Macaca mulatta: one gene and its partner. The main gene of each other region encodes a partner of the protein of the gene in region 2 in a complex. Links are inferred from orthologs where the notes say so. Each region holds a gene or a part of one and is shown on either strand. Other genes may lie near its edges. The genes, in order: PPARA and PPARGC1B.

Region 1 (15,595 bases), on a different chromosome or scaffold from region 2:
GTGTCTGCCTGCCCCGTGCCACCGTCACCTTGCAGAGAAACACTGATTGCCTTCACACATCTGGCTCCAGCCAACTCCCTCCTCTGCACACCTCGAGGCTCCCAGGCAGAGAGGAGGCTCTTCCCCAGGCCGGGGCCCCCCCGGGAGGGTGCCCAATGGCATGCAAGCCAAGGCCCGTGTGGGCATAGCTCCTGCAGGTTCTCAAGGTTGTAGCCCACACCCTGCTCCTTGGCTTTGTCAAAGATCAAAATCAGGGCCTCACATAGAACTTTATATTCCAACATTGCAAGTCTCAACACAAACCAATGTGTTGACTTGAAAATAAATATCACTAATAAAATGGAGAAGAGAGCTGGCATGGAAATATTGGAAAAATGTCAGGAATTCTTGGTGCTGTGTGTTTATCAGTAAATAAAACACATCTGAGGAGTGAGGGGGCGGCCCCTGGACCTTGGGCTGTTACGGATGGGTGCCATTTTCAATAGCTTTGGGGACAGACACGGTGTTTGCCAATATCTTGGTTTTGCCAAGTCAAAGCTAACCAACCCCTACAACTACTATCAACACTTCATCTAAGCAATTCCCACTAAGGAAAGGTATTTTCAACCACAAAAAAAGAACATAAAGGATATAGTCTTGGGAAGGAAAAGGATATTTCTCTGTTTTTCTTTGAGACAGGGTCTCTCAGTGTTGCTCAGGCTGTACAGTGGTGCGATTACAGCTCATTGCAGCCTCAACCTCCCAGGCCCAAGTGATCTTTGCACCTCAGCCTCCTGAGTAGCTGGGACTATAGGCACATGCTACCTTGCTTGGCTACTTTTTTTTTTTTTTTTCACTTTTTGTAGAGATGGGGTCTCATTATGTTGCCCAGGCTGGTCTCAAACTCCTGGCCTCAAGCAATCCTCCCCACTCTGCCTCCCAAAGTGCCGGGATTACAGGTGTGAGTCACTATGCCTGGCCTGAAGAAAAGGTCATTTCTTTTTTTTTCTTTTTTTTTTTTTGAGACGGAGCCTTGCTCTTGTTGCCCAGGCTGGAGTGCAATGGCGCAATCTTGGCTCACTGCAACCTCTGCCTCCAGGGTTCAAGCAATTCTGCCTCAGCCTCCCAAGTAGCTGGGATTACAGGCATGCACCACCGCGCTCAGTTACTTTTTTGTATTTAGTAGAGACAGGCTTTACCATGTTGGTCAGGCTGGTCTTGAACTCCTGACCTCAGGTGATCCACTCACCTCGGCCTCCCAAATTGCTGGGATTACAGGCCCCCCATGCCCAGCCCAAGACTATTTCTTTTTTTCTTTTCTTTTTTTATTTTCCTTCCTTCCTTCCTTCCTTCCTTCCTTCCTTCCTTCCTTCCTTCCTTCCTTCCTTCCTTCCTTCCTTCCTTTCCTTCCCTCCTTCTCCTTCCTTCCTTCCTTTCTTCCTTTCTTTCTTTGACAGAGTCTCACTCTGTCACCCAGGCTGATCTCCACTCACTGCAACCTCTGCCTCCTGGGTTCAAGCGATTCTCTTGCCTCAGCCCCCAGAGTAGCTGGGACTACAGGCGTGCACCACCACACCCGGCTAATTTTTGTATTTTTAGTAGAGATGGGGTTTCACCATGTTGGCCAAGCTGGTCTCGAACTCCTGGCCTCAGGTGGTCCACCTGCCTCGGCCTCCCAAAGTGCTAGCATTGCAGGCATGAGCCACCGTGCCCGTCCCTGAGGCTATTTCTTTAAATCAGCTAGTTGAAGTTCTATAGGAAACTCTTCACAATGTCCGTTTTTGTTTTCTTTTGTTTTTTGTTTTCACTTTGCTGCAGACCCAGAAAACTTTGTTAAACGTGACCTGTCCCTTCCAGGAGATGAGGGACCATGGCCCAATCCCATATTTTAGTGAAACCCAAGGCAGAGCAATGCGAGAGGGCAGCCTCCCCTCCACTCAGCTGCACGGGCTCCAGTTCACATTGCCTTTCCTGGCTGGCAGGATTCTTTGGTGAAAGGCAGATAACAGGGTGGGACAGGGGATCATGGGCGGGAGACACGTAGGCACTGGGGCTGGTGTCTGCGAGGCATCAGGGCTGCCTGTCAGCTGTCCTGAGTGGAGAGACAGGACCAGGCAGTGGGCCCTGTAAAGATGGTGCTGGATGTGACAAGAGCCACATGGAACACAGGAGGTGGTGGCCACACAAGGCAGAGGGTGGCTTTGGCAGGGGGACGGTTGCCAAGCAGGCTTCCTGTAGGCGGCAACTCTTGGCAGAGCCCTCAAGCTGGTGGTTACCATGTCCCAAATATGACCCACTCATCAGGCCCCACCCTGCACCACCCTTGTGCTCCCTCCTCAAATTCACACCAGGACCCATCGAGGCAGGTGTTCCTGCCCCACTTTAGAGATAAGGGGGCTCGGATAGCATCACCGGCTGGAGGTTGTAGTGTGAGAAAAAGATACAGGAGGATTTGAATCCAGTTCTGTTGAACTCCAAACCCCAGGCACTGCCCACTCGTTCTATGATGGAAAGTGGGGGGATAGTGCCCAGGCGGCAGGGTGCTGTACACGTAAGCTTGCCCGCCTTGTGCGTTTCCAGTCCGCCATGCCAAGCCTCATCTCTGCACTTTCAGTCTTCCCTGCCTGCAGCAGTGCCACTCACTGCCAGCCACTGAGTCAGATCATTGCAGAATCCAACTCCATGTAAAGTAGATCATCCTTCATGGACCAAATACGACTATCTGGCTGGGCGCAGTGGCTCCTGTGATCCCAGCACTTTAGGAGGCCAAGGAGAGCAGATCACCTGAGGTCAGGAGTTCGAGACCAGCCTGGTCAACATGGTGAAACCCTGTTTGTGTGAAAAATACAAAAAATTAGTGTGGTGGTAGGTGCCTGTAATCCCAGCTACTCAGGAGGATGAATCAGGAGAATCGCTTGAACCTGGGAGATGGAGGTTGCAATGAGCTGAGATCTCACCACTGCACTCCAACAAGTGCACAAGTGCAGAGCAAGACTCCATCTCAAAAAAAAAAAAAAAAAAGAAAAGAAAGAAAGAAAGAAAAGAAAATCCGTCGATCCTCACATCACGCTTTGCAGTGAGACTCCCACAGCACCTAGCATGACACAGGCAGGGGTCCTGCAGCTTCCAGTCCATGTCCTGGACTGGATAAACGACATCCATGATCCAGCCCTGGAGCTGGATCCTATGTGACGAGGGGGGCACCTGTCCCTTTGGAGGTGCAAAGAAGGGAGGCAGTGCGGCCGCAGGTGGGCTGCCCTGGTCCTCTCAAGATCTATAGAGACAGACATCTGAGCCATGTCAAATGGGGCCTGCTGCAAAGCTGGGGACTGGTTAATTAACAAAGGGTAGAGTGTCATGACAGCAGCAGTTTTTGGACCTGCAGAAGCTTCCAGATCCTGCAAAGCTAGAATGGATGCACAGCTTAAGCCCCTCCCCCCCACTTCAGCTGTGACCACTGGTTAACATGTAGCAAGCAGCACTTGGTGCTAATCTGATGGAGTCACGCCTCTGCTGACAACCCTCCATCGCAGGTGTCCTGCAGCCCTTAGGACCAAAGTCATACTTCCCACTGGGCTGCAAGACCTGCCTGACCAGGGCCTTGCCCAGCTCTGCCCGCCTTGTGCCATCTCCATACTCTCTCCCTGTGAACGTGTCCCCTCTCTCCTGCCACAAGCTTCTGCACATGCTGCTGCCACCCCCACTGGAGCTGTGGGGCCAGGACCAGCCACCAGTGAAATCCCATCCTTGGCCCCGGGCTCCTGAGTCTGCCAGAGGCTGTCGTATCAGCCCACAGACAGCGTCTGCAACAGACAACCGAACCCTGGGGGTACCCAGGGCCAGGTGCTGATGGACTGGTACTCGGGAGAGTTCTCACTCCCTGCTGGGGACCTTGGCCACATGCTGCCATTCCTGGCCCTTTGTTCCTCATCTGTAAGATGGGCATAATCACAGCTGCCTTGTGGGACTCTTATAGATTCTGTCCCCTAGTGTGACAATACTTCGTTACCTTGGACCCATGGGGTTTTGCTGTCAATACCAGGATGGCAACCAAGGACATGCCCATGGTTCGCCCTTACCGACAAGATCCAGCCTCAGGTCACCAAGCAGCTCCCTGCTCGCTGCCAGTGAACCCTCCCTTTCTCAGCCCACGGCCCCTGCCCCAGTGGACTTCCAGCACCTGACCCTGCAGGCGCGCTTCCAGGAGCTCAGAGGCCACTGCCCTGGTGGATGATGCCCTGGAAGCATACACTCCCCCTTGACAGAGAGCTGTGCGCATCAGCAGAGGGCAAGCCAGCAGCAAACTTCGCAGGCCCTGGATGGCAAACAGACTCCAGTCTGGACCCCAGGCCCATAGGAGAAGCTTCACCCTGGCAGTGTCAGGGAAAGCACTTGGGTGCCTGAACACAAATGGCTGTCATCACCTGCTCCCAACACTCAGGGTCTACCTGCTGCCCAGTACTGAGCGGCCAAGCCCTATCACTCCAGGTTGCCTCCTCCAGCAACCCTTTCCTCTCTGAATTCCCAGCTTCCCAATTCTTTCCCTGAGGCCGTGGGAGGGCCTCGGCTTCTCTGGCTGGCTGGCAGGCCAGCACTTGCAAGAGTGAGCGGCTCAGCAGGGCAGATATGGGCTCTACAGACCTGCCTTCCGTCCTGCGCCCTGCCACTGGCCTGGGGGACCCGGTGCAGACGGGGCTTCTCTGTGCCTCAGTCTCCATCTGGTAATGTGGGCGCAGTAATAATTACCCTCAGAACATCTTCCAGATCAGAAAATGCAAAACGGAACCTGAGATGGCATTGTCACCACATAAATGGTAGCTATGAACTAAGATCCTCATGCACCAGATGCTCCCAGCAGTCACTAAGGCTCCAGAGCGGAAACTCAGGTGGCACTCAGAGGCATTTTCAAGAGCACTGATTTGTCCTCAGAGTTACAGATTTCTACTCAGTCCCTGCGCCAGCGGTGTTTCTGTTCCTCATTTCATCAGCACTGAAGAAGGTAAAGAGAGACTTTCTGGAGCTGGGAGTGGGGGTGGCGGTGTGCCCTTTGTGACAGTTGCTCCCATGCTGGGTGTGTGACAAGGTCTTCGAGGCCAACAGAAAATTGCTTCATCTCTCTCATCTGAGCGTGGTTTCCCAAAAGAAACCTACCACCCCTGGGAGGCAGTGGATGCGGGGCTGTTTCTGGCCCAAGAGAAGAGTCCTGAACTTGCTTCTACCCTCGGGACGCCTGCGGGAGACTGGCTGACAGCATTTGATTGAAAATGCTTATTTCTGGGACACATGGATGAAAAACAAGTTTTCTCTCCCTAAAACCTTGGGAGCCCCAAAAACCCAAGAATATCAGTTTTCTGTGTCTGCTGAGTGTAAATGACCACTCTACAGACCCCCACACAGCCTTTGTCCTTGTTCATGAGAAGGTTCACCAGGTCTTTCAACACCTGGTTGACCTGGGTGGTGCATCTGGGAAAAGAAGCCAACACACCTGTGTGGACCCTGGTCCTTGAGAGCCTGGGATATGGGGACACCAGGTAATATCTTTGAGCCCAGAGGTCCTCATGAGGATATAGCCCCTGAGCTCTGCGTGGGCTGCGGAGTGTCAGCTTCCCTCACCAAACACAGCAGGATGACAAGCGTGGATGTGGCTGCCTGCACCCCCCGCGAGATATCCAGGATATTACGTGTGCGGATCACCCTGTAAACTCTGAAACATAACATAGATCTTAGCTATTGCTGGCTAGCATGTGCAAGAGAAGGTGAGGCTGCGGTGTGCCAGTGGGAAGGATATATGGGTGTCTGGAGGGTGGGACAAAGTTCACCACAGGTGCCTGGCTAATCAACTAGGGTGAGTTTAAGAGAAGTTTGTGAAAGGGCCAGTTCCCACCTGGTCTCCAGTTCCCCTGCCTAATGAGATTTGTGTTTCCTTTCCGGAGTGGGTCCTCCTGGGCGCCGGCTGCCACAAATAGCACAGTGGCAGGCGCAGCTGGCAGTGGAGGGCAGGCAGTGGGGCGGGCATAGCACACATTGCGTTCCCAAGGATGGGCGCCCTGATGTGCCGGCACCAAGGGGGTTTGTGCATTCCGCGCGGGGAGCTCGGGCGTCACGGCGCGAACAAAGCGGCTTTGCAGGGCGCTCTCCTACTCCTCGCCATTGGCCGCCAGGCCGCGACCTCCCCCTGCGCTGGCAGAGTCCCAGTGCCTTACGTGGGCACAAAGTCAGTCCCTCACCCCCCAGCGCATGGAGTAGGGGGCGGGCATGGGTCTCGGGTTGCTGGAGAGGGGTGGGGTTGTGGGGTCGGAGTTGGCGGCGCCTCCCCGAGCCCGTCCGCGTTGCCCTTCACCCTCCTCGTTCCCCCGCCCGCCACACCGCCCTGGCACCTCTCGCCACCTGTTTCCTTGTCCTCCCAGCTCGCCTTCCCCTTCTCCTTATTTTGCATCCTGGGGTTCCAGGGACAAGGTCCTTCCCGGGCCGCCTCCCACCCCACGCACTTCTGAGACTCAAGAGCACCCGGTCCCGGGTCCCGGGTCTAGACCGGCTTATCGCACAGAGCGGCACAGCCGGGCTCATCGAGAAGGCAGGAGGGGCTCGCCAGCGTGGCACTGGCGACCGGCGAGAACCTCCACCCGCCCCGCGGCGTGTCCACGCCTAGAATTCAGCCCCACCCTGGTGCCTCGGGCTGGAGGGGCGCCGACGCTCAGCGGTGTCCCGTCGGTCACCTTGGACAGCCCCTCCACCTCTCCGGCCTCAGTTTCCCTTGGCTGCAGCGACCGCGAGGCGCTAGGTGGGAGCCGCTGAGCGCTCCCGGGGCCCCGCCCACCTCGATCAGCCAATCGGGCGCCGCCGTCCGGGGGGTGTGTCCCGGGGCCGCGGCCTGGGGCCCGGAGGGCGCGCTGGGCGGGCGGGGCTTCCGGGTCGGGCCTCGGGACACTCGCCCGAGCGGACCGGGGCGGGGGGCGGGCCAAGGGGCGGTGCGTGTCGCGGGGGCGCGGCTGGCACGGACGCGCGGAGGCGGCGCCGAGCATGGGCCGTGGACGCGGCGGCCCCGCGGCGGGGGCAGCGGGCGGCGGGGGCGGAGGCGGCCGCTAGCGCCCTGCCCGGCGCCGCCTCCTTGGGCGTTCGCCCCACGGACCGGCAGGCGGCGGACCGCGGCCCAGGTGCCCGGGGGCGGGCGGGCGGGCACGCGCGCAGGGGTCCGCGGGCCGTGCGTTCCCGGTCCCGGGACCCGGAGGGCGGCGGACGGGGGAAGGGCAGAGGGTGGGCGGCGCATGCGCGGGGCCAGGGGTCTCGGGGTCCCGGGGACCTGAGGGCCCGGGGTGCGCGGCTGGAGACCTGAGGGCTAGGAGCGAGGACACACACCGAGGACTCGTGCAAGGGATCCCGGGGCCCAGCTCGGCCTCCCTCCTAGCGCTGGGGGCCTGCCCGGAACCCCAGAGTCCGCGGCTGTCCCTGGGGCTTGGCGCTGCGCGGAGGTCGGGTCTGGGGACCGCAGCGACTCTGGGTCTTCGGGTTGTCCCCTGGGAGGGAGGGCCCACGGGCAGGGACATCGGGGCTTGCCCTTCCCTCGGCGCGGTGGAGCTGGGGCGTCCCCGACTCAGAGGGTGCTTTCCGAGACCTCCAGGGATCCCCGAGGCGAGGAAACCCGGGCCCCGGACAGACCGACCCTGGGTGGGTGCGCCCGGCTGCTGCCGTCGGACGGAGACGCGCGTGTTTGTTCTTCCAGCTGCGGCCACCTTTGAGGAACGGTTCCCACTTTGTGCCCCAACGCGGCGGGGCGACCCCAGACAGGCTGTGCTGGGCCGGGTGGCTTCTCTGCGGAAGCCGCGCCACGTCGCTGCCGGTCGGGGCCGCTGCGGGTCGGGCTGCGGGTCGGGCGCCCAGGTCTTTCCGGAGTCCCGCGCTGCGCGGCCCGCGTGGTGCGGGTGAAGCCGGAGGGGCGCGGGGTGGTGCTAGTGGAAGTCCGGAGGGTCGGCTCTGTCCCCTCACTCACCCCAACTAACAGGGCACAACTGCACGCCTGTGCTTTTCTGAAGCCTTTCTTAAAAGTTAAAAGAGAGGAAGTGTGCTCCAAGTGTCAGGATTCCTTCCAAGAAAAACCCACAGTTGTCCAACGCCCTGGGCTTCGTGGGACCTCCGGGGCTGCACGACCACGTCAGCCCCCGCCGCCCCCGCCGACCCCTGCCAGGAAACCAGGGAGGCCCCTCCTCTCCCAGCCTCCTTGGGATAAGGGTGGCTTGAGGAACTGGGTCAGGGCAAGGACACGGGGTTTTACTGAGAAGGACCCTGTGACACCCCCTGTCGTTGCTGGGCAGGGTCGGGATGACTTTCCTCTTCCAAGGTGAAGAGTTGGGGGGCATTCAGAGAACATAGCGTAATCACTTCCTCCTTCACCTTCTTACTGCCAGGCTGAAGCTCAGGGCCCCGTCTGCTCTGTGGACTCACAGTTTGTGGCAAGACAAGCTCAGAACTGAGAAGCTGTCACCACAGGTAAGTAGAAGGTTTAATTTACTGTTTCCAGATGGAAATATTTAAGTGTTTTCAGTGTTTACTGTTGTTGTACTACAGACCAGCAATCTGGGGGTTATTACTTTGTGATGCAAGGTTAGATACATTTTCAGACTGAAAGTAAGATACATGTGCATGGGTTCACTTTTTTTTTTTTTTTTTTTTTTTTTTTTGAGATGGAGTCTCCCTCTGTCGCTCAGGCTGGAGTGCAGTTGCCTGATCTCAGCTCACAGCAACCTCTGCTGCTGGGGTTCAAGCGATTCTCCTGCCTCAGCCTCCAGAGTAGCTGGGATTACAGGAGCCTGCCACCACTCCCAGCTAATTTTTGCAGTTTTAGTAGAGATGGGGGTTTCACCATCTTGGCCAGGCTGGTCTTGAACTCCTGACCTCACGATCCACCTGCCTCAGCCTCCCAAAGTGCTGGGATTACAGGCGTGAGTCACCGTGCCCGGCCTAGGATTCACTTTTAAGTTCTGAGTTATTGTGTGAGTTTTGCTGGGAACTTCATTGCTTCATGGCAGGCATGTTTTGTATAATTTAAAACTTGGTAACATTAACTTTGAGAAATGTGGGTGCTTAGCAGACCCTTGGGATGTCCACACTGACTGGTACCGAGCAGTATACCGTCTCTGAGCTGTTTTCATTTTGATTTGAATATTAAGTAGATGGCTTGTTGAGATAGGCCAATGCCAGAACATGCCAAGGATAGGCTGAAGAAACGGCCAGATGATATGAATTTGTGTGGTCACCATTCATGAGAGACCAGGGACACTGGGGCTGATGATGACCTGTGTAACTCCGAAGCAAAAGTAAATTAATTGGCAAGCTGGGTGCGGTGGCTCACTCCTGTAATCCCAGCACTTTGGAAACCGGAGTGGGCAGATCACTTGAGGCCAGGAGTTTGAGACCAGCCTGGCCAACATGGTGAAACCCCATCTCTACAAAAAAAAATAGAAAAATTAGCTGGGCGTGGTGGCGGACACCTGTAATCCCAGCTACTCAAGAAGCTGAGGCAGGAGAATTGCTTGAGCCTGGGAAGTGAAGGTTTTAGTGAACTGAGATTGTGCCACTACACTCCAGGATGGGTGACAGGGCAAGACTCCATCTCAAAAACAAATGAATAAAATAAAATTAATTAACCGACAGTAGGAAAAAATGTTTTTTCTTTCTTTTCCCACATCTGTTTTGTTTTGTTTGTTTTCTGAGATGGAGTTTTGCTCTTGTCACCCAGGCTGGAGTGCAGTGGCACGATCTTGGCTCACTGCAACCTCTGCCTCACGGATTCAAGTGATACTCCTGCCTCAGCCTCTCGAATAGCTGGGATTACAGGTACTCACCACCACACCCAGCTAATTTTTGTAGTTTTAGTAGAGACAGGGTTTTGCCATGTTGGCCAGGCTGTTCTCAAACTCCTGACCTCAGGTGAACCTCCCGCCTCGGCCTCCCAAAGTGCTGGGATTACAGGCGTGAGCCACCGTGCCGGGCCCTTTTCCGACGTCTTAAACACAAAGTAAGAGACATGCCATAATCATCAAATACTGCAGTGGTTTTCACCAGCTCCTGTTTATCAAACTTATGAACAGAGTTTTAAAAATAGTGTATCAGCCAGGCGCGGTGGCTCATAACTGTAATCCCAACACTTTGGGAGGCTGAGGTGGGCAGATGACAAGATCAGGAGTTTGAGACCGGCCTGGCCAATATGGTGAAACCCTGTCTCTACAAAAAAAATATGAAAATTAAGCTGGACGTGGTAGCAGGCGCCTGTAGTCCCAGCTACTCAGGAGACTGAGGCAGGAGAATTGCTTGAACCCGGGAGGGAGGTTGCAGTGAGCTGAGATGGTACCACAGCACTCTGGCCTGGGTGACAGAGTGAGACTCCGTCTCCAGAAAAAAAAAAAAAAAATTGTATGTGAGAGAGAGAGAACTAGAGAGAAGAAAGAGAAAACCTGTCTTCTTTATAAACTATTTTATAACTTTTTATTGACTAGGTTATGAAAAATCTTTCTATGTGGAAAACATTTCTGCATCATTTGAAATGTATATATAATATCCTATTGTGTTTAGATACAATAATATTTAACCAATCTCTTTATATATGTGTATGTATTTAATGCAGTCATTCTATAAATATTTACTGAGTAGCTGCTGTGGGCTACTGTCCCGAATGCTGAACAAGACAAGCATGGATCCATGAAACTGATTTTCACACCAGAAATAAAAAGGAAACGTAAAGATAATCCTCCTCATGGTAAAAGATGAAGAACCTATTCTTGCCAGGACATCTTACTCTTTAGTAATTGGTGGTCAGTGTTCAGTTTCTTGTGTGCTGTTTTGGAGAGTCTGTTTTTGTAATAAATATTTAAGTAGCCCAGGCGTAGTGGCTCACGCCTGTGATTTCAGCACTTTGTGAGGCCGAAGGAGATGGATTGCTTGAGCCCAGGAGTTCAGGACCAGCCTGGGCAACCTGGCGAAACCCCGCCTCTGCTAAAAATACAAAAATTAGCCGGGTGTAGTGGCGTGTGCCTGTGGCCCCATCTACTTGGGAGGCTGAGGTGGGAGGATCCCTTGAGCCTGGGAAGTGGAGGTTGCAGTGACTGAGATGGCGCCACTGCACTCCGGCCTGGGTGACAGAGTGAGACCTGGTCTCAAAAAATAAATAAATATTTATGTAGTCATCATTAAGCAGTCTTTTAAATTTTATTTATTTACTTATTTTTGAGACAGAATCTCACTGTGTCACCTAGGCTAGAGCACAGGTGCGTGATCATGGCCTGATGCAGCCTGGACCTCCCTGGGCTCTGGTGATCCTCCCACCTCAGCCTCCCAAGCAGCTAGGACCACAGGCACACGCCACCATGCCTGACTAATTTTTGTATTTTTTGCAGAGACGGGGTCTTGCTATGTTGTTCAGGCCTGTCTCAAACTCCTGGGCTCAAGCCATCCTCCTGCCTCAGCCTCCCATAGTGCTGGGACTATAGCCATGAACCATTGCACCAGGCCTAAGTGGTCTTTTAGAAAAAAAAAAAACATTAATTAAAATATTTATTTGCTCATTATAAATATATTTGAAATGTGCCAATTTTTTTCTCTCTCTCTTTTTTTTTTTTTTTTGCTCTCTTGGTTTCTGTATGTGGATGGATATATTTTTAATGGCAAATAGGATGAGTGTCTTCACTTCTAAGCAGCCAGTGTTTTTCTTTAATGTTTGTACTAATTTTGTTACATTGCAGTTAGAGGTTGTGGCCTAATTTCTGCTTTTTTGGAACTTGAGAGTCGCTGTTTTTATTTGTTTTTGGTAGCTTGGCATAGAGTCCATTTTTCTTTTTCTTTTTCTTTTTTTTTCTTTCTTTTTTTTTTTTGAGATGGAGTTTAGCTCTTGTTGCCCAGGCTGGCGTGCAGTGGTGCAATCTCAGCTCACTGCAACCTCCGCCTTCCGGGTTCAAGGGATTCTCCTGCCTCAGCCTCCCAAGTAGCTGGGATTACAGGTGCATGCCACCACGCCCGGCTAATTTTTGTATTTTTAGTAGAAACAGGGTTTTGCCATGTTGGCCAGGCTGGTCTTGAACTCCTGACCTCAGGTGATCCACCTGCCTCGGCCTCCCAAAGTGCTGGGATTACAGGTGTGAGCCACTGCGCCCAGCTCTAGATACTTTTTAAAAAGGTATAGTTTCTGATTATGGGGTAGAAATGTGCTATGTCTTATGAATTGCATAGAATAAGCTAGATCACCTTTAAGGCCATGTGGTTAGGGAAACTTGGGCACAAAATTTACATTTCCAGCTTGGTGATAAGATGAGTTTAAGGTAAGAATCAAACAGGAAAAAGCCTTAGCTGTTCCAGTGGCCCATGTTTAAAAGAATGTATTTCTTTTTCCAAGTATTTCTGCCGCTATGCAGGCACGTTTTCCAGACAGGACCAGATTTGCTTGTTACCCAGAGGTGTGTGCATTCTTTGCTTTTAGGATATTTAATTAGCGTCTTTTAATAGTGGTATTATGGTGTCTTGAAAGTTTATGCATTTGAAAAGAAAATAACTTACTCCTTGCTAGGTCTCACCCTGTCATGGTTATCTTTGCAGCTAAGCTGCATTTGTTTTGAGGCTCACATGTGGTAAAAGTGGTTGAAAATTTGGAAATTTTGCTTTGTATCAGCAAAGCAGCTTGATATAGTGGAAAAGGTATTAGGTCATTAATCATGAGATTTGGATTCTAGCCCCTTAGCTGCTGCCTGCCAGGCCTGGAGACCTTTGTTCCCTTCTTTAAACTGCTGTTTTCTCATCAGAAAATGAAGTTCCTCTCCATGCCACCTCTCTGAAGGGTTGTGAAGCTCAAAGTGGTGGCTTAAAAAACTGCCCATCTCAGGAGGTGTCTTAAGAAGGAGTGAAGGGGTGAAGGCCCCTCCACACCTGTGGGTGTTTCTCGTTAGGTGGAAGGAGAGACTTGAGAAAAGAAATGAGACACAGACAAAGAAAAAGTGGGCCCAGGGGACCCGCGCTCAGCATACAGAGGACCCACGCCCTGCACCGGTCTCTGAGTTCCCTTAGTATTTATTGATAATTATCTTTACCATCTTAAAGATAAGGGAGTGGCAGGACAATAGGATCATCGAAGGGAGAAAATTAGCAGTAAAACATATGGATGGATAAAGATCTCTGTGACATGAATAAAGGAAAAATGCTATGCCTTGATATGCATATGCAAACATCTCCATAAACCTCTTAGCAGCATTGCGCCAGCAAGTCTCGCCTTATGCCGTAAGGCGGTTTTCTCCTATCTCAGTAAACAGAGCATACAATCGAGTCTCACACCGAGATGTTCCATTGCCCAGGGACCAGCAGGATTTTTAACCAGCAAGCTGCCTTCAGGCACTTGTTTAACAAAGACACATCCTGCACAGCCCAAAATCCATTAAACCTTGAGTCACCACAGCACATGTCTCTTGCAAGGACAAGGTTGGGGGCAGGGTCACAGATTAACAGCATCTCAAATACAGAACCAAATGGAGTCTCTTATGTCTTCTTCTTCCTATATAGACACAGTAACAGGCTGATCTTTCTTTCTTTTCCCCACAAGGACATACCGCTGGCTCCTGCATTTCTCACTTAGCCAGGTCTGATACCTGTGTAGTTTTCACTCTGGCCATTTTAGGATTTTTCAAAGGCTTTCAGAAAGCAACATACTACCATCGCCTCTTACACACCAAAATTGTTTTTCATTTTGGAATATACAATTAAGAGTTCTCCACTAGTACAATAAAGTTGTTACCAGTGGTTCCTATGTGATTTTTTTTTTTTTTTTTTGGGACAGAGTCTTGCTCTGTCACCCAGGCTGGAGTGCAGTGGCTTAATCTTGGCTCACTGCAACCTCCGCCTCCCAGGTTCAGGCAATTCTCCTGCCTCAGCCTCCTAAGTAGCTGGCACTATAGGCACCTGCCACCATGCCCAGCTAAGTTTTGTATTTTTAGTAGAGATGGGGTTTCACCATGTTGGCCAGGCTGGTTTTGAACTCCTGACCTCAGGTGATCCACCCACTTCAGCCTCCCAGAGTCTCGCTATTACAGGCGTAAGCCCCACCGCACCCGGCCTCCTGTGTGTTTTGAAGGTGATTGTGACCTCAGATTTTGGTGGGGCTACACCTTGCATTTGCTTTTACTCCAACTCCATGGCATACCTGAACCAGGCCTCTTCATCTTGAAGAGGGATCTGCTGAAATGCAGGCCCAGTGAATCTCCCCGTGCCCAGACACAGTTCCGTCAAACCATGGCCCGGTGCTGCCGGCACCCTGGTTCCTGGTTAGTCTGACTGTCCACACTGAGACTAATTCCTTGAGGGCAGACAGGTTGTCTTACTTCTTTCTGCCCTGCTAGACCTATAAACTGAGTAGGTACTTGTAAATGTTCCTGGAATAAGTACATGATTAACAGGATTTAATTCTAGAAGAATGTATTGATGGGCGTCTGTGGTCACCACAGTACTGAGATGTGGGTGGGAGCTGGCTGGATGGGGGGGCACCTAAACCGGAGTGCAGACAGCAGCCCCTACAGATGGTGGCCCGCTCCATCCCACCGCAGCAAAATTGCCCCAGGCCCCTGCAGCTTCCCCCACACCTAGACTGAGAGAGCTCTTCTTCCTTCTGTATTGACAGGGTGTTCCCTCCAGATGTCCAATATGTACTTCCCATTACAACGGTGTTAGGAAGGTGAGGGCTGCCACTGAAATGGTCCTCTTCGTAATCACCACTAGGTTTGGTGTATATTATGGATTAAATAGAATTTTTATAAGATGGCCTGAGGATCTATTTAGATAAAATCCTCTTTCTTTCTGCAAGATCATGGATTTAAATTCCAAACAACTGACTTCATAGGGAAGGGATATGGCGAAAGGGAAGTGATTTGGGCAACACTGATATATATATATATATATATATATATATATTTTTTTTTTTTTTTTTTTTTTTTTTTTTTTGAGACAGAGTCTCGCTTAGTCGCCCAGGCTGGAGTGCAGTGGCGCGATCTCGGCTCACTGCAAGCTCCGCCTCCCGGGTTCACGCCATTCTCCTGCCTCAGCCTCCCGAGTAGCTGGGACTACAGGCGCCTGCCACCTCGCCCGGCTAATTTTTTGCATTTTTAGTAGAGACGGGGTTTCACAGTGTTAGCCAGGATGGTCTCGATCTCCTGACCTTGTGATCCGCCCGCCTCGGCCTCCCAAAGTGCTGGGATTACAGGCGTGAGCCACCGCGCCCGGCCAACACTGATATTTAACAAGGCGAGGGTCCTTCTCCCGCTCTGATTGTGAAGCTAAAATATTCCCAGGAGAAATTAGAGAAAACTCAGATGAAATATTGTTTGTGTTCCAGGAGGTAGGACTCGTCGGACTGCTTTTATTTTGCTTCATTTTAAGAGATTTGCAGATAAAGAGGAGTGAAGATTTCTATTCAGATTTACTTGCTTTATACTTTTAACTTATAGACCACAAGCCAACCTTCAAAAGAGCATCATTTTGAATAGTAAGAGTTAGGAAGGCAAATACAGGACTAATGGCTTCCAAGATTATGAGCTTCATAGGAATGGTTTGAGATGAGGCTATATAGTAAAGCAGAATATTGAAGCTCCCCCAC
Region 2 (15,558 bases):
ACTTTATGTGTACATTTATGCATACAGTTGTAACCTTTTTATATACATTTTATCATCTTTTTTCACTCAGTATTATTTTTTCTATTTTTAAGGAGCTGAATTCAGAAGACAATTTACACATTTCTTTTATATAGCTTTCTACCTTCTGCAGAGTATTTCATCAAGTAAGTAAACCACTACACCTTCATAGTTTTTGTATCATGAAATATTTTAATCATACAGAAAATCTCAAGGAACAATATACCACACATATTTAACAAATATTGATATTTCTAAGCTTGGCATAGTGGTGTGTGCCTATAGTTCCAGCTATTCACTTGGGAGGCTGAGGCAGGAGGATCGCTTGAGCCCAGGAATTTTAGGCTGTGGTGTGCTATGCTGGTTAGGTATCTGCACTAAGTTTGGGATCAATATGATGACCTCCTGGGAGCAGGGGACCACCAGGTTGCCTAATGTGGGGTGAACCAGCCCAGGCTGGAAATGGAGCAGGTCAAAATTCCCGTGCTGATTAGTTGAGGAATGGCATCTGTGAATAGCTATGACTTTCCATTCTGGGCAACATAGCGAGACCCTGTCTCTTAAAAAAATAAAGATATATTTACAGGTACAGTTGGAGCTTTCTTCTGCATGATGTACTCAAGTCCACCCCAGGATGGACTATATAATTTTCAGGGCCCAGTGCAAAATGAAAATGCATTATTCAAAAATCATTATGAATTTAAAGACAGCAACAGCGGAGCATTAAACCAAGCATAGAGCCCTTCTGAGTACAGATCTCAATGCTACTGTACAGGTGACACACCCGGGCAGCCAGCCCTAGTTCCCCATCTCCTCTCACTTTCCTAACATCGATCTGTGTCTTCATTGTCCCATGTTTATGCTTTTACTTTGTATACATGCATTGACCAATATTATGGAGTATTGTTACATGTTTTAAAATATTGCATAAATGACATCATACTGTATGTATCCCTAGGCTGCTTGTTTGTCTTACTCACTCTTTTTGAGAGGTATCTGTGTGGAATCATGGAGATGTTATTTATTTTCACTATCATCTAATATTCCATTGTGAGATCTCACCGCAGTTCATTTTTCTGGTACCCTATATTTTTATCATAATTAACAGTACTGAGGTGAACGGTTCTCTGTGCATGTATGTGAGTTTCTGTCTGTCTGTCGCTAGGTGTGGAATTGAACTGTTCTGCTTTGCTGGATGTTGAAGTTATTTCCAAGTTTTTGCTTGGCACCAATGTGCTCCCCCGGGGTGTTTTCCTTTGGATGTTCCTAAGTCACCTGAAAAGCTTCCCTTGGGAGACTTTCCTCTGAGCTACCTTTCTTCTAAGATCACCATCCACACAGTCAGAAACTGTGTGTCCTGACCCTTTCCTTTTATTCCCTCACCACTTCTAACCTATTGCCAAAGCCAATGGATTCCCACTCTAAAATAAGGCTTTAACCCATCCTTCCTCCATTTCCTTCCTGCTACTTCTGTTATCTTGGTTCAGGAACCCCCGCTCCCCTAGACTCCTTTTCCAACTCCTAACTTGTCCCTCAACCCCTCCAGTCTCCAGTCCCCAACTTTCTTCACTGAAGGACTCATTACACACTACCAAGTTGCATGGTGACATGCAGTGCTCCCATGCACATTGTAGAGATCAGAGCTGTGAGTTACATGACAGTCAGATTGCATCGTAGTCACCATTTGTGGACCTGTAGCATGGTACCTGGTACCCAATAGAATCTAAAAATATCTGTTGATCAAAGGATGAATAAACGTCATGCTGTCATTTTCCTATCTTTTGGATCACTCAGGATAAATTCGCCAAAGGAGCATTATTGATGACTTAGGATAATGAATGTAAAGTTCACAGTCCTGTGTAAACTGAATTTGATCCACACAAAACTTTAGGTCAGTTGAGACCAGCCTGGGCAACAGAAGGAGACCCTGTCTCTACAAAAACATAAATAAGTTAGCTGGACAAGGTGGTATATCTACTGTCCTTACTACTTGGGAGGCTAAGTAGGGAGGATCACTTAAGCACAGGAAGTTGAAGCTGCGGTGAGCTATGCTCACATCAGCACGCTTCAGTCTGTGTGACAGAACGAAACCTTGTCTCTAAATAAAAATATATAATTAAAATATAAAATATATATAATAAAAATATATAATTGAAAAAACTCTAGGTCAGGTACAACAGATAGGATGACCCTTACCAAGAAGTGGTTTTCCCAAGATCCCAAAGCCGATAAGAGACAAAGTATAAAGAATAACAGGTACTCAGGTATTCTTTCCATCTGCTTGTCTTATTTCATAGGTGCCCTACATTGAGTTTAGAAATAACTTAATATAAACTATGTTGCCCTTTAATGTCAGGTGACTGTCTCTTTAAATGTTGCAGTTCTGACACAAATATACATCATTCTAATGTGTGTGTGTATATATATATATGTAAAATGTGTATATATATTTAAATAATAACCTGATAGAATTTGTATCTCTCTAGAAAAGAAAGAACTCTCATCTCTGGGCCTTTGTTTATCCGTCTATTAAATGGGCATAAGGAGGGTCCTGTCTAGGATCTTTTGCTCCGTGAGTAGATAAGGAAAAAGCACACTTTTCTATCCCTATCTAATTTTGTTGCTCCCATGCTCTGTGCAGTCATTTATGGGGCTGAGGAGGATGAAGGAGGAGGATTTATGAGGCTTTTGCAAAACTGGGAAACAGTAATAACTGACATTATAGCTGCTAATGCCCCTTACCTGCTGATTTGAAAGCGCTTTAATCACTTGTAGCCTATGAAACAGAAAGTGATCTGCTAGCTATTTCCCCCAAATGCATTGGTGAGTTCATAGGTTAACCCTACAGGAAGAAGAGAGCATTGCTAAACACAAAGAGCCTTGCTTCATGGGCTTTCAAGAGTCAAAGGCCCCAATCATTGACTCTGAGACCCTCAAATGCTACCATCTAGCTGATGTTGTTCTAAAGGATCAGCCCTGAGGAGAAGTTCATCCTATGGAAGCCATCTGAGCACTCCACACACCATCTGAAGCCCTGGCTTCCAGTTCTGGCTCTGCCACTAAAGGGCCGTGTGACCTTAGCCACATTCCTCTACCTATACAGTGAAGCTGGTGGAAAACACCTTTCCACTGCCCCTCCACAGTTCTAAAGTTCTATCATTCAATGGGAGGTGGAGATGGTTTTCAGCATCAACAATACAAAGCAGGCAGCTTTTTAGTTCCTCTTGGCCTGAGTCCCTGCCTCCTGGACAGAAGCTGGGAAATAGATGAGCATCTGGCTCCCTGGCCTGGGTCACAGAATCACAGAATCGTGGGTGGCTGGCAGGAAGCCTCTGCGTTTATCAAGACCCACGTCCTACCTCCCTCCCTCATTCAACACAAATTTACTAAGCAGTTGCATTGAACAGAATGTGGGCAGAGATGGCGGCTGTTGTGTTCACCAATTTATCCATGGCATCTAGCGCAGTGGGTGGCACATAGTAGCTGCTCACTACATATCTGCTGAATAGTGTCTCATCTCCTACAGTAGAGTCACCTAAGGGAGCCTATTAAGCACAGATTCCTGGGCCCACCCCAGACCTCCTGAATTGGAATCTCTGGCGATAGAGCCCAAGTGACTGTCACGCCCTCCAGAGTTTGAGAACCACAGCTGTATGTAGGGTCTGAATAAAGCATTATCTTGCTATCGGAAAGGAGAAAATGCTGATGTTTCAACTTTTGAGCATTTGTCGGTAGTGACTAAAGTATTCAAGTCAAATAGGTTCATTTTGCTGTAGCCATTTCCATGGAGCCTGGCGATCTCTGCGCTTTGCACTAGGTATGCACAAGGCTCACTTTCACTAATCTTGAGGGAGACGAGGCTGATAAAAAAAGGCAGAGAAGATAGGAGTCAAGCCACACAATGTCCAAGCTTGGCATTATTATTGCCCTTCACTTGGAAGTTACCAAACAAGAAATGTGCTGCCCTTCTAGCTTTCATGGGGAGGTTAGATGCTATGAGATTTTTCACCCTCCCTTTCCAGTGTCTGTAGCTTGGACTGTGTACACACCTGGGTTCATATCTGAGCTGTTGACTCTATGTAGTCCGGGGCCAATCACTTTAACCCCCTTTAAACTTTTGTTTCTTCAGTCATAAAATGGACATCATGATTTACCCTATGGAGGGTTGCTGGAAGGATGAGAGATGCTATAAACTCAGGCGCTGGGCACATGCTCAGAACAGAAAAGCTCTAAGTTTTGGTTGATGTCTATAAACTGCCATAACATTTGGGATACAGGACTCTGCAGAGGTTCATCTAGGCTAGCTCCTTCTTTTTTCTTTTTTTTGAGACAGAGTCTTGCTCTGTTGCCCAGGCTAGAGTGCAATGGCACAGTCTTAGCTCACTGCAACCTCTGCCTCCTGGGTTCAAGCAATTCTCCTGCCTCAGCCTCCCTAGTAGCTGGGATTATAGGCAGGTACCACCACACCCAGCTAATATTTTTAAATTTTTAGTAGAGATGGGGTTTCACCCTGTTAGTCAGGATGGTCTAGATCTCCTGACTTCGTGATCAGCCTGCCTCAGCCTCCCAAAGTGCTGGGGTTACAGCTGTGAGCCACTGCGCTTGGTCTGCTCCTTCTTTTTTTTTTTTTTTCTTTTGAGAAGAAGGCTCGCTCTTGTCCCCAGGCTAGAGTGCACCCAACCGACCACTCCTTCATTTTTTTTTTTTTTTTTTTTTGAGACGAAGTTTCGCTCTTGTCCTCAGGCTCACTGCAACCTCTGCCTCCCAGGTTCAAGCGATTCTCCTGCCTCAGCCTCCTGAGAAGCTGGGATTACAGGCGCCTGCCACCATGCCTAGCTAATTTGTGTATTTTTAGTAGAGATGGGGTTTCACTATGTTGGCCAGGCTGCTCTCGAACTCCTGACCTCAGGTGATCCACCTGCCTCGGCCTCCCAAAGTGCTGGGATTACAGGCGTGAGCCACCAGGCCAGGCTGCTCCTTCAGTTTATAGATAAGAAAATAGCCTCAGAGAAGAGAAGCAAATGGCACAAGATCATCTAGCACCTCAGGCTTTTTGAGGGCTTTTTTTTTTTTTTTTTGAGATGGGGTCTCAGGCTGGAGGGCAGTGATGATCACAGCTCACTACAGCCTCAACCTCCTGGGCTCAAGTGATGCTCCCATCTTAGCCTCCAACGTAGCTGGGACCATGAGTGTGCACCATAACCCCTGGCTAATTTTTTTTTTTTTTTTTTTTTGGTATTTTTTGTAAAGATGGGATCTCCCTATGTTGCCCAGGCTGTTCTCAAACTCCTAGACTCAAGTGATCCTCTGGCCTCAGCCTTCTACTGTTGGGATTACAGGCATGAGCCACCACACCCAGGCCAGGACTTTTAATCTCAGTTAAGAACTTCACATTTTTCCACTGGCCAGAGGAACTTCAAATTCCTCCATGAGGCTGAGACTCTGTGAGCGACCTGTGATGAAGGAATTTCTGGGACAATATGCTTTTGAAAAGGAGGCTAGATATCTCAGGTGAGGCCCTTTCTCGCCTAAGTTTCTTGCCAGCCAGAAGACTGTTGTGAGGATATAGTGATTGGCGAGAAAGTCCTTGACATTGGGCAATGTGTGGCTTTTCTACCAACATGGGAGTTTTAAAAACAAAAAAGCCTCTGAGAAAGTGCTGTCGGGCCTTCCCTGGCAAGGCAATGAATGGCAACTCTGCAAGGACCAAGGCTAGAGATGGCTGGCTTTGGGAATACTTCAAAGTTTGGTCATCCAAAGTTTGGCCTCTGGGCTGTAAAGGACACACCACCGGTCAGGGGCCAGGCTGGGCCTGGAAGGGACATCTCCGGAAACCATCCCACAGGACTCTGACTCTGGTGCCCAGGAGAGTAGCAAAAAAATGGGGTCTTGGGAGAGTTCAAGTCCTTAGCGCTAATGGCGATGACATTGGTGATGTTGGTGATGACTATAGTGATGATGGGCATTTCCTGCCTGCAAGATTCAGGGCCAGGCAACTGACTTTACATGAATTGCATTGTTTCATTCAATCCATCCTCATAAGATCCCTATGTGGAGCAAGCAGTACCATTGCTATCCCCACTTTACAGATGAGGAAACTGAGGCTCAAAGAGGTTAAGTAAATGACCAAGGGCACATAGCTAGTTTGCACCAGGATTCAAATCTGAATGTATTGGAGTCCAGAGTCAGTCAGCAGCCTGTAAGTGCTGGAAAAAAGGCAAGTAACATTGGCTAGTGCCTTCAAGGGATATATATTTCTTATTCCCATTTTAACAGAAGGGAAACAGAACAGAGCGCTTAGCATATTCTCCATGAGGTCAGGCACTGGGCCAAGCACTTTACATATATTATCTCCTCAATCATCAAAACATCCCTATGACGTAGGTGGTTTTTTGGTCCCCATTTGTGTAGATGAGGAAACTGAGGCCTGAGACTAAATGACTTGCTATGGTTCCAAATCAAGCAGTGTGACTCCAGGGCCCATGCTCTTCACCCCCTGAACAAACCAGATGTTCCAGTATCCAGATGCAGGGCTTAAACAGAACCCAGGACTCCTGACTCCTAGTCTAGGGCTCTGAGGCTAGAGGCAGGCTCTCTGTTGGAATGCATTGTTCCTTAAAAGCACACTGGCCTTAAGCCCAAAGAGTGAAATCACGCCCTGCGGTTCTGGGAACCTCAGACTGGAGAAGGAAGCTTTTGCCCTGGTGTTCAAGTCTCAGCAGGTGTGCTGGGGACTCTCCCTCTGTTTCCTTCTCCTGCTGGAAGGGAGCCCTTGCTAGGTGGGCAGGGTGGGGCAGCCCTTATGAGTGTAGGGTGGGAGGGCAGGAGGCAGGTGTGCCCAATAAAACAGACCTAAAGCTTCCCGCCTTCTTGCCTTCATCCAGGCAGTGCCCTCATCTCCTGTCTGGCAAACAACAGGGCATGATGATGAGAGTTCAAGTTTGGAGTCAGGAGGTTTGAGTTCTGGTTCTGGCTCAGGCAGTCACTCCATGTACACACTGACAGTCAGTTTCCTTATCTGTATAATGCGTGGTGGTGGTGGCAGAGAATCAAAATTCTCCAGCCTTTTCAGTTAACACATCATCTATTAAGTGCCTACTGTGTGCCAGGAACTGCGGATACAGCAAGTGCAAAAGCAGATTTAGGCCCTGCTTTCATGATGTTAGCGTCTTGTAAGACAGATACAAAGATTAAGTCTTCACTGCAACAAATGTAAAATGGCAACTGTGACCAGCTTTTAGAGAAAAAAGGCCTGCTGATGGAGCTAAGGGAGCCCATCATGGTTGGGGTGGAAGGAGAGGAAATGGCTTGACAGTCCGAGGGGTAATAGGGAAAGATGCCCTGAAGAGATTACTAGGTGAATGGCTGCTGGGTGTACAAGCCCGTTGTGAGTGGGCCTGCGGAGGCTGGCAGGAGCCCAGCCCCTTCATGCATTGTGGGCATTGGTAAGAGAACTCATTGGAGTTTTTTGGGGGAAGGGTGTTGGGGGACGATGAGAGAGAGACATATATGATCAGGTTTAGCACAGAATGTAGGCAAACGCACCCTTCAAGTAAAAGATAAAAATGCCTCCTCCTCCAAGGAGACTTTCTTGATTTCTTTTCTTTTGATCTATGGTATTTCTCCCTCCTTCTCTGGCCTTGTAGCCTGGGTAGAGAAACTCAATCCTCCAGGGGAGTAAGACCTGAGCTTTCCCTTCCTGCAACTGATGTGAGCTGTAGCTTCAAACGAGGTCCTATGCCTTCTTGAGTCTCAGTTTCCCCAGCTGTGCAGAAGCAGGTTGTCTCGCAGGGTCCGCCCAGCGCTAACGCAATGTGATTCGTTCTGGCAGGAGCCGGGGGCTGCCCGCATTGCTGCGCAGGCATCGGGCTGCTGGCTGGGGCACCGCCACCCGGCTGCCTGTGCTTTACCCCCTGCTGAGGGCTGCGGGAGCCGGTCTCGGCGCCAGACGCGGCGCAGGAAAGTGGGTGAGCGACCCCCGGCTCCCGCGGGCGCCGCGCGGCCCCGCCCCCGCAGCCAGCGGCCCTGCGGCAGCCGGGGGCTCGAGCTCCGCCCTCCGCCTCCCGCCGGCCTCACTCCCTCCTCCCTCCTCCCTTGCTCGCTCGCTGGCTCCCTCCCCTCGGGCCGGCTCGGCGTTGACTCCGCCGCACGCTGCAGCCGCGGCTGGAAGATGGCGGGGAACGACTGCGGCGCGCTGCTGGACGAAGAGCTCTCCTCCTTCTTCCTCAACTATCTCGCTGACACGCAGGTACGGCCGGCCGGGGCTGCGGGCCCAGGGCCAGGGGTGCTGAGCTGCGGGGGCCGCAGCCGCAGCCGCGGAGGCCGGGAGGCAGCGGTGGGCGCCCTGAGGTAACTGGGGGTTCCAGGCTGCAGAGCCCCCCTTCCAGGCGCCCTGCGATGCGCTTCGTTACCGGGGCAGGGAGCCGGAGGTTTCCCGGAGCGTGCTGGAGCGCTGGGGGCGCTACTGCCGCTGGGGAGGGTCTAGCTTTGGCCGCTTGGAGTCTGCCCCCCCGCGGGCAGACCTGGGGGGTACCGCGCTTCCTTTGGGAGGTGTAGGCGCGCCACGGTGTGAGGTACCCTCAGGCTGGCGCTGGGTGCTGGAGGCGCGCCGTCAGCTCCCGGCACTTGCTGCCGTACTTTCACGTGGACTTGTGGCCCCGGCACGGGTGCTTGCTCCGGTCTCCGGAGTACCCTAGTCCTCCAGGCTCTAGTCACCCGAGTGCTGTTGCTGGCCCCCCTAGGTTTTCTACCCGCGCCCGCAGCGCGGAGTTTCCTGCCAGTTGCCGGCTAAAGGCATAGGGGTCTGCGGGGCACGTGGACACGCGGGCGGAGACAGCGTCTTCCTGGTTTCGCTATCGGGCGGAGCCCCCTGGGGGGAAAAGCCAGGCTGGATGGGGGCGGAAGGACTGTCTGGGGGCGCCTGGGTCCCCCTGCGGTGCGCGGCCCCGGTGCGCGCTCCACGATGCTGGGGGAAGGGAAGGCGAGGCGCAGTCCCAGGCTCTGGCTGAGCCCGGGAGCCCCACTGGCGACACGCGCGTGACAGGAGAGGGTGCTCTGGTGTGCCAGGGCGCGGGGGAGCAAGGAAGCTGGTGGCTTGGAGACTGGGAGAAGGGTGCTGCTGGGACAAGCAGCCACCAAAAATGTCAGCACGAGGCGTGCGCGCCCCCCACCTCTTCCCCCATTTTCCCCACCCAATGCCTGTTGCAAGCATAAAGTTTGGCTCCAGAGTTAGGGCTTTTTTCTCTGGGCGCCCGGCTGCGGGTCATTGGGAAGCTGGAGATGCGGCGGAACCTCGGAGGAGTCCCCGGGTGCTGGCACACGCCTGGGCACGGAGAGGGGCAGCCGGGCGGAACCGGGCGCGGCTCGCGGGGGCTGATTTGATACCTGGAGTGGGAGCGCCGGTGCCGGCCCGTTTTGCATAACAGTGGAAGGGAGGGGGAAGGCGGAGATGGGGGGAGGGAGGTGGGAGGAGAGAGAGGGAAACTTTGCTTCTTGTTATAATCTGCCTGTCTTTGGGCGGCAGCAGCTGTCATGGGACCGGGTGGGCGGGGAGAGGCTTGCAAGCTGACTCCTTGCGGTGAAACGCGACTTGGAGGGGACGCCGCAGCCGAGACGTTCAGCTCCGGGCGGACTCCGGGTGGCGACTTCGGGCTGGCGGCTGGGACGGCGTGGCGTGGCAGGGTGTCGCCAAGAGGAAGCCCGCCACGCGGGAGGCAGGCCGGCCCTGGCCCGCTGCAGACGCCGCTGCGTAGGGGAGCCGCTGGGCCGCGTGGTCGGTGGCGGGCGCGCTTGGGTGGGTTCGCGGCTGAGGCCGGAGGGGCTAGTGGCGTGTGATTGCGCTTCTCGAGGTCGGGGGGAATGTGTGCTGAGTAGGTTGCGCGCGCGTGTGCATGTGTGTGTGTGTGTGTGCACACGCCGCGCGCGCCGGGCGCGTACCTTTACCTCTGACGAAACTGCGGTGGAGCTCCCGCCGTCGTCGCCGGGCTCCGTCACACGCCCCGCGCCGGTGTCTGCGCCGAAGGCGGGTCCCAGCCTCAGTACCCCCAGAGCCGACAGCTTGGGGCTAGCGGGCACTGAGTGCGGGAGGAGGGGCAGAGTCGCTCTTGGGAAGATTCTGTCCCCAGATCTCGAAATTGCCCGGGGTCGTCTCCAAATCTCTTGGCTGAAATGCGGATGAGGGAGGCCTGAAATAGCCGGAGACTCGTTCAGGGACCCATGTCAAGAACTGTCCGCTTTGGACCATACCCCGGATTTTAACTGGATCTTCAGTGTTTGGCTCAGCAATAATTAATTATTTTGCCCTTTAGCCGCCCAGCGAGCCTAGCTAGCAGAAATATTCCACCCAAGGAGACTAGAAAATTGAATAATCAGGTGTTAGCAGGAGCAGTGCAGTGAAAGTTAATCTGGGACGTTTGCCTTTTTTTTTTTGTTTAACCACGTGACAGGCGGAGGATCTTCTGGTGATCTTTGCCGGCCCAACTTGGGAAATGTAATTGATAGGATGAGCTTTGAGCCGCCCCTAGAAGGCTCGGAGAGCCCAGCCGGAACAGGACCTGGGCGGGCCCAGTGTGCACCTCCTCATTTTACAGTTGGAGAAAGAGGCTGCGAGGGGTGAGCGGCTTGTATGGGACCATGCAGCCAGAGGGTGACAGAGCCACCCAGGGCTCCTGACTCCAGGTCCTGTGTGTTACCTCGAAATAGCACTGGACTTGGAGTCAGAAGGCCTGAGTGGAGTCACCTTCCCCACTCTCTGGCTGGGTGACCCCGGAGCAAGCCATTTGAACTCTCCGAGCCTCATTTCCTCCATCTGTCAAATGGGGCTGGTGGTGCCGCAAGAGAATCCAATGGCCCAGTGGTGGGGGTGAGCATTGTTTTGCATGTGAGATGTTCTGGTTGTTCCTGCAACCCCCTCTCCTCCCCCAAACTTTCCCTGATCCTCCCCTCCTCCATCTCCCTTTGGGAGCTTTGGGGAAAGTGGATTAAATGGTAATTCATTGTCTTTGTCCCAAAAGATTGTTGTTGTCTTTGGTGGCTAATCCAGGGTTAGATTAGAGGGAGGACTTCTGTTTAGAAGACTTAACTTTTACCCATTGGGGCCAAAGTACGGAAATTTAGCAGAACAAGGATTGCGAAAGTTTCTTGGAAAGCTTTGAGGCATGAATCCCAAAGGACTGTGGGTGGCTTCACCTTTGTTCAGGCTGTGCCCCTGGCCCAGAGTGCCCTCACCCACCCGTCCTGCATGGCCTTCTCCTCTAGTAGGCTCTCCCAGCCCAGCTCGTCATGCTTTCTGTCCTCTGGTTTTCTGCATCTGTGTTATACAACCAAGCGCTTTGTGTAAGTCTGGTGTCCAGTAAGATTCTAGCACTAGGGCTGTGCCTTTTATCATTGTGCCCGCAAGGCACCTGTCAATATGCTGAGCCGTGTTCCTTTGCTTAGCTCTTGGCTAGGCACATGGATTACAGACAGGGTCGCAGCTGGGTCCTGCCAAGCAGAAGCTGCCAGGCTGGCAGGGGAGACAGCTGGGCAGTGAGTGTGGGAGAGAGGAATGCAGAGGGCTACAGCTGTGGGCAAAGGCTTTGGCCCCAAAGGCCACACAGCAAGCCCACACTAAATATGGACTATTTGGAGTTGCTTAGGGCATCAGTCATAGATGCACAAAATGTCAGAGTTGGCGGCGGGAATTTTAGAAATCATCTGTTCTAACATCTTATTTAAAAATATTTAATTATAGAATTGTTAGAAAATACTGCCAAGCATAAAGAAAAAAATGAGAAATATATAACATGACCCAAAGATAACCACTGTTAATTGTCATGTATATTTCCAGACTGTTTCTTTCCTGTTCATATAGATCGCATCTTATTTTTAAATAATGGAGTCGCCGCGCACAGTGGCTCACGCCTGTAATCCTAGCAGTTTGGGAGGCCAAGGCGGGTGAATCACCTGAGGTCAGGAGTTCGGGTCCAGTCTGGCCAACATGGTGAAATCCCGTCTCTAGTAAAAATACAAAAATTAGCTGGGCATGGTGGCACACGCCTGTAATCCCAGCTACTTGGGAGGCTGAGGCAGGAGAATCGCTTGAACCCGGGAGGCAGAGGTTGCAGTGAGCCGAGATCATGCCACTTCACTCCAGCCTGGGCAAAAGAGCGAAACTCAGTCTGAAAAAAAAAAAGGAGTTATCCTGAATATACTGATTTGTAACTTGGAATCGCACTGTTTTGTAACTTGTTTTTTTTCTCCTCCAAACAATATGCTGTGAACATCTTTCCACATCAGTAAATATTCTACTTAGTATCTTAATGATTATATAATGTTTCATTGAAGATTGAACCGAAATGTATTTAATTAATCCTTTATCGTTACTCATTTAAGTTGTTTAATTTTATTTTGCTATTGTAAGCAATGCTAAAACGAATATCTTTTTGTGTATGTCTTTGTTCCTTCCTTTACATTCCTAGAAGTGAAATTACTCCATCAAACCCATTCCTGGATTCTCTTCTAGAAAGATTGTACTTATTTGCGTACCAGCATAGTCTGGGAACACCTTGTTTCCTATACCCAGATAACTGTTGATATTTTCATTGTTTTTCATTTTTACCGGTCTGTTCATCAATAAATTCTGTTACCCTTATTGTTTGAATGTGCATTTATTTGATTACTTGTGATGCTGAACTTCTTCCCCATATGATCATGGGTGATTTGTGGTTCTGAGTTTCTGAACTTGGCCCATTTTGTAATTGGTATCTTGTCTCCTTGTTGTTCTAAAGCTGGGACTGAGCACCCAGAAGGGGCCCCTGCCACATGGAGAACTGGGAAAATGGCCCCACACACCCCTTGAAGCCAAGGCCAACTTCTTTTTCAAATCAGTTTGTGGGTTTGGACAAGTGTATAGTGTGTGGGAGAAGGTTGAAGTGTAGCCTTCACTGGGTGCATTTGCCCATTCTTCATCTGTATAAGACTTAGGGAGAGTAACTTCTTCACCTGAGCCAAAAGGGGTCATGTTCACCAGAGACCTGGGCTCCACTTTCGTTGGGATTCCCTGGCTGGTGCTAATGATCAGGATGCCTGTGAAACCCAGGAACGGCAACGGCCCAGCAGCTGGGCCATAGGGGCTCATATTTCCTCTTTACTTTGGGGCCCTGCTCTTAGCAGCTAGTGCAGGCCAGGCAGAAGTTCCACTATGCCACGTGAGTCACCCTCTTCCTTCTTCCTTTGAAATAGAAGAAAGACTGGCTCGAGTGAGAAGCAGCCTTGCAAAGGGGGCTCAGGCTTGAAATGCATTACAAGAACATTGCAGTGTTGATCCTTGCCTTCTCCTTCATCATTGTCATCATCAGTGATGTTTACTCAGTATCCCCTAGACCCCATGCAGTTTACTGAGCCTTCTGTTTGCACTACTACATTTCATGCTCATAGAGATTGTGCAAAATGTAGGTGCTGTTGCACAGTTGTACAGATCTTACAGTTTCAGAGAACTCACTGACTTGTGGAAGACTAATTACCTTTGAGTAAGTAGAAGAGCCAGCATTAGTGGGCAGTGTTCCCAGACTACTTGACTTCAAGCTCCTTGAAGACAGGGACTACTCTTGGTTTTTGTTCATCGTTGTTTTTCTAGCACCTTGAGCTAATGAAGCCACATTGATTGTATAGAGAGAATGCAGAGGCCGGGAGCGGTGGCTCATGCCTGTAATCCCAGCACTTTGAGAGGCTGAGGCAGGCTGATCATGAGGTCAGGAGTTTGAGACCAGCCTCACCAATGTGGTGAAACCCCGTCTCTACTAAAAATACAAAAATTAGCCGGGCATGGTGGTGTGCGCCTGTAATCCCAGCTACTCAGGAGGCTGAGGCAGGAGAATCGCTTGAACCTGGGAGGCAGAGGTTGCAGTGAGCTGAGATTACGCCACTGCACTCCAGCTTAGGCGACAAAGTGAGACTCTTTCTCAAAAAAAAAAAAAAAAAAAAGAGAAAGAATGCAGAACAAGTCCCTCTGCTTCTCTAGGCCTGTTTCTCAATCCTTGAAATGGGGATAATAGGCCCTAACTCTCAGGGTTGGGAGTGAAATAATACAGTGTATCTAAAATGAGCATTCATCTGCTGCTCATAAAACTTAGAATAATTCTCTCTTTGAAACACTTTAGAAGGACAGGATCAAGTATGGAGCTAATTTTCATACATGTAATCTTATTTTGCATAAAAAAGAGAAGCATAATTCTTATTAGAGAGTCAAGGGTACCCAAATAAAGTCATTTGGAAGAAAATGATCAGGGTCAATTTCTATCTGTCCTCCTACAAGGTAGTCAGAGTGCCTCATATCCATCCCATTGATACTCAGCTGATGCAGAATTGATTGGATTGATCTTTCTGTTCTTCTCCCCTTCTGATCTAGGTTTTTGTCTGTTTGTAACTAGATTCCTGCAGTTACTACCAAACAGATCTTTGCCGTACCAGACTTTGTCTTCTTCCATTTGTCCTTAGCCCTGATGGCAGATCAGTCCTCTTAGAGTGCATATCTGACATCACTGTCTTGCTCACACATCTCCCATGGCTCCCCAGTACATTTTTTTCTTTTAAGACTTTATTTTTTTAGAGCAATTTCAGGTTCACAGCAACATTGAAAAGAAGGTACGGAGATTTGCCATATACCCTTGCCCCCAACATGCATAGCCTCCTCCATTATTAACATTCCCCACCAGAGTTATAGATTTGTTCTAAATGATGAACCTACATTGACACATCGTTGTCACCCCAGAGTCTGTAGTTTACATTAGGGTTCACTCTGTGGGTTTGGACAAATGTATAGTGACAGGTATCCACCATGGTTACATAACATCACACAGAATAGTTTCACTGCCCTAGAAATCTGCTCTACCTTTTCATTTCTTCTGTCCCCCAACTCCTGACAACCACTGATCTTTTTACTGTTTCTACAGTTTTGCCTTTTCCAGAATGTCATATAGTTGGAATCATGCAGTATGCAGTGTTTTCAGATTGGCTTTTTTGTCACTTGCTGATGGGAATTTAAGGTTCCTCCATGACTTTCATAGCTTGATAACTCAGCTCTCCAGTATTTTAAAATTAAAGTCTAAACTTAAACCTGATTTCCAAGGGCCTTCAGGTACTTAAGTTGGACAGTTAGGCCCTTGACTTTGTCTTGAGCTGTCTGCTTTTACTTTGGGATCCTGTACTTCCCCAGGAAAACCCTGAATTTTCCTCCTGGAGGCTTAGACTCGGGCTGCCCTTTTCTGTGTCCTCCGTCTCCATTTCCATGATTCATCCTGCGAGCCGCCGCTCACCAGCCATTGTTTTGGCAATGCCTTCTCCCTCACCTCCAAGCCAGCTGTTCCATCTTCTGTGTGGCAGTATGCAGGGCCAGCAGAGCACTGATCTTGGAATCCCCTTATTGGGTTTGAGTCTTGGTTCTGCGATTTGCCAGCTTTGAGGCCTTTGGCAGGTCACATAACCTCTCTGAGCTTCTGTTTCCTCAAGTGGGAAGATATGATGATTATGATTGTTGTGAAGAGGCCAGGCATGGTGGCTTAC

The links.
Region 1: the proteins of PPARGC1B (region 2) and PPARA are in contact, whole or in part, in a crystal structure (PDB 3SP6), measured with the Homo sapiens proteins. The link is inferred for Macaca mulatta from reciprocal best matches to the Homo sapiens genes PPARGC1B and PPARA. Residues at the interface, in NP_573570.3 of Homo sapiens: Ser154, Leu155, Leu156, Gln157, Leu159, Leu160, Leu161, Thr163; in NP_001001928.1 of Homo sapiens: Val284, Thr285, Thr288, Glu289, Lys292, Phe297, Leu302, Asn303, Gln305, Val306, Leu309, Pro458, Leu459, Glu462, Ile463.

Annotation. Positions count from the first base shown.
Region 1 is NC_133415.1:5,330,816-5,346,410, reverse strand, and holds the start of PPARA (peroxisome proliferator-activated receptor alpha), read left to right. Parts: upstream 1-7,001; 5' UTR 7,002-7,133; intron 7,134-7,157; exon of another isoform or gene 7,158-7,644; intron 7,645-8,361; exon of another isoform or gene 8,362-8,381; 5' UTR 8,382-8,463; intron 8,464-15,595. UniProt on the Homo sapiens protein: Ligand-activated transcription factor. Key regulator of lipid metabolism. Activated by the endogenous ligand 1-palmitoyl-2-oleoyl-sn-glycerol-3-phosphocholine (16:0/18:1-GPC). Activated by oleylethanolamide, a naturally occurring lipid that regulates satiety.
Region 2 is NC_133411.1:158,684,688-158,700,245, forward strand, and holds the start of PPARGC1B (peroxisome proliferator-activated receptor gamma coactivator 1-beta), read left to right. Parts: upstream 1-8,155; 5' UTR 8,156-8,188; coding exon 8,189-8,266; intron 8,267-10,678; exon of another isoform or gene 10,679-10,744; intron 10,745-15,558. UniProt on the Homo sapiens protein: Plays a role of stimulator of transcription factors and nuclear receptors activities. Activates transcriptional activity of estrogen receptor alpha, nuclear respiratory factor 1 (NRF1) and glucocorticoid receptor in the presence of glucocorticoids.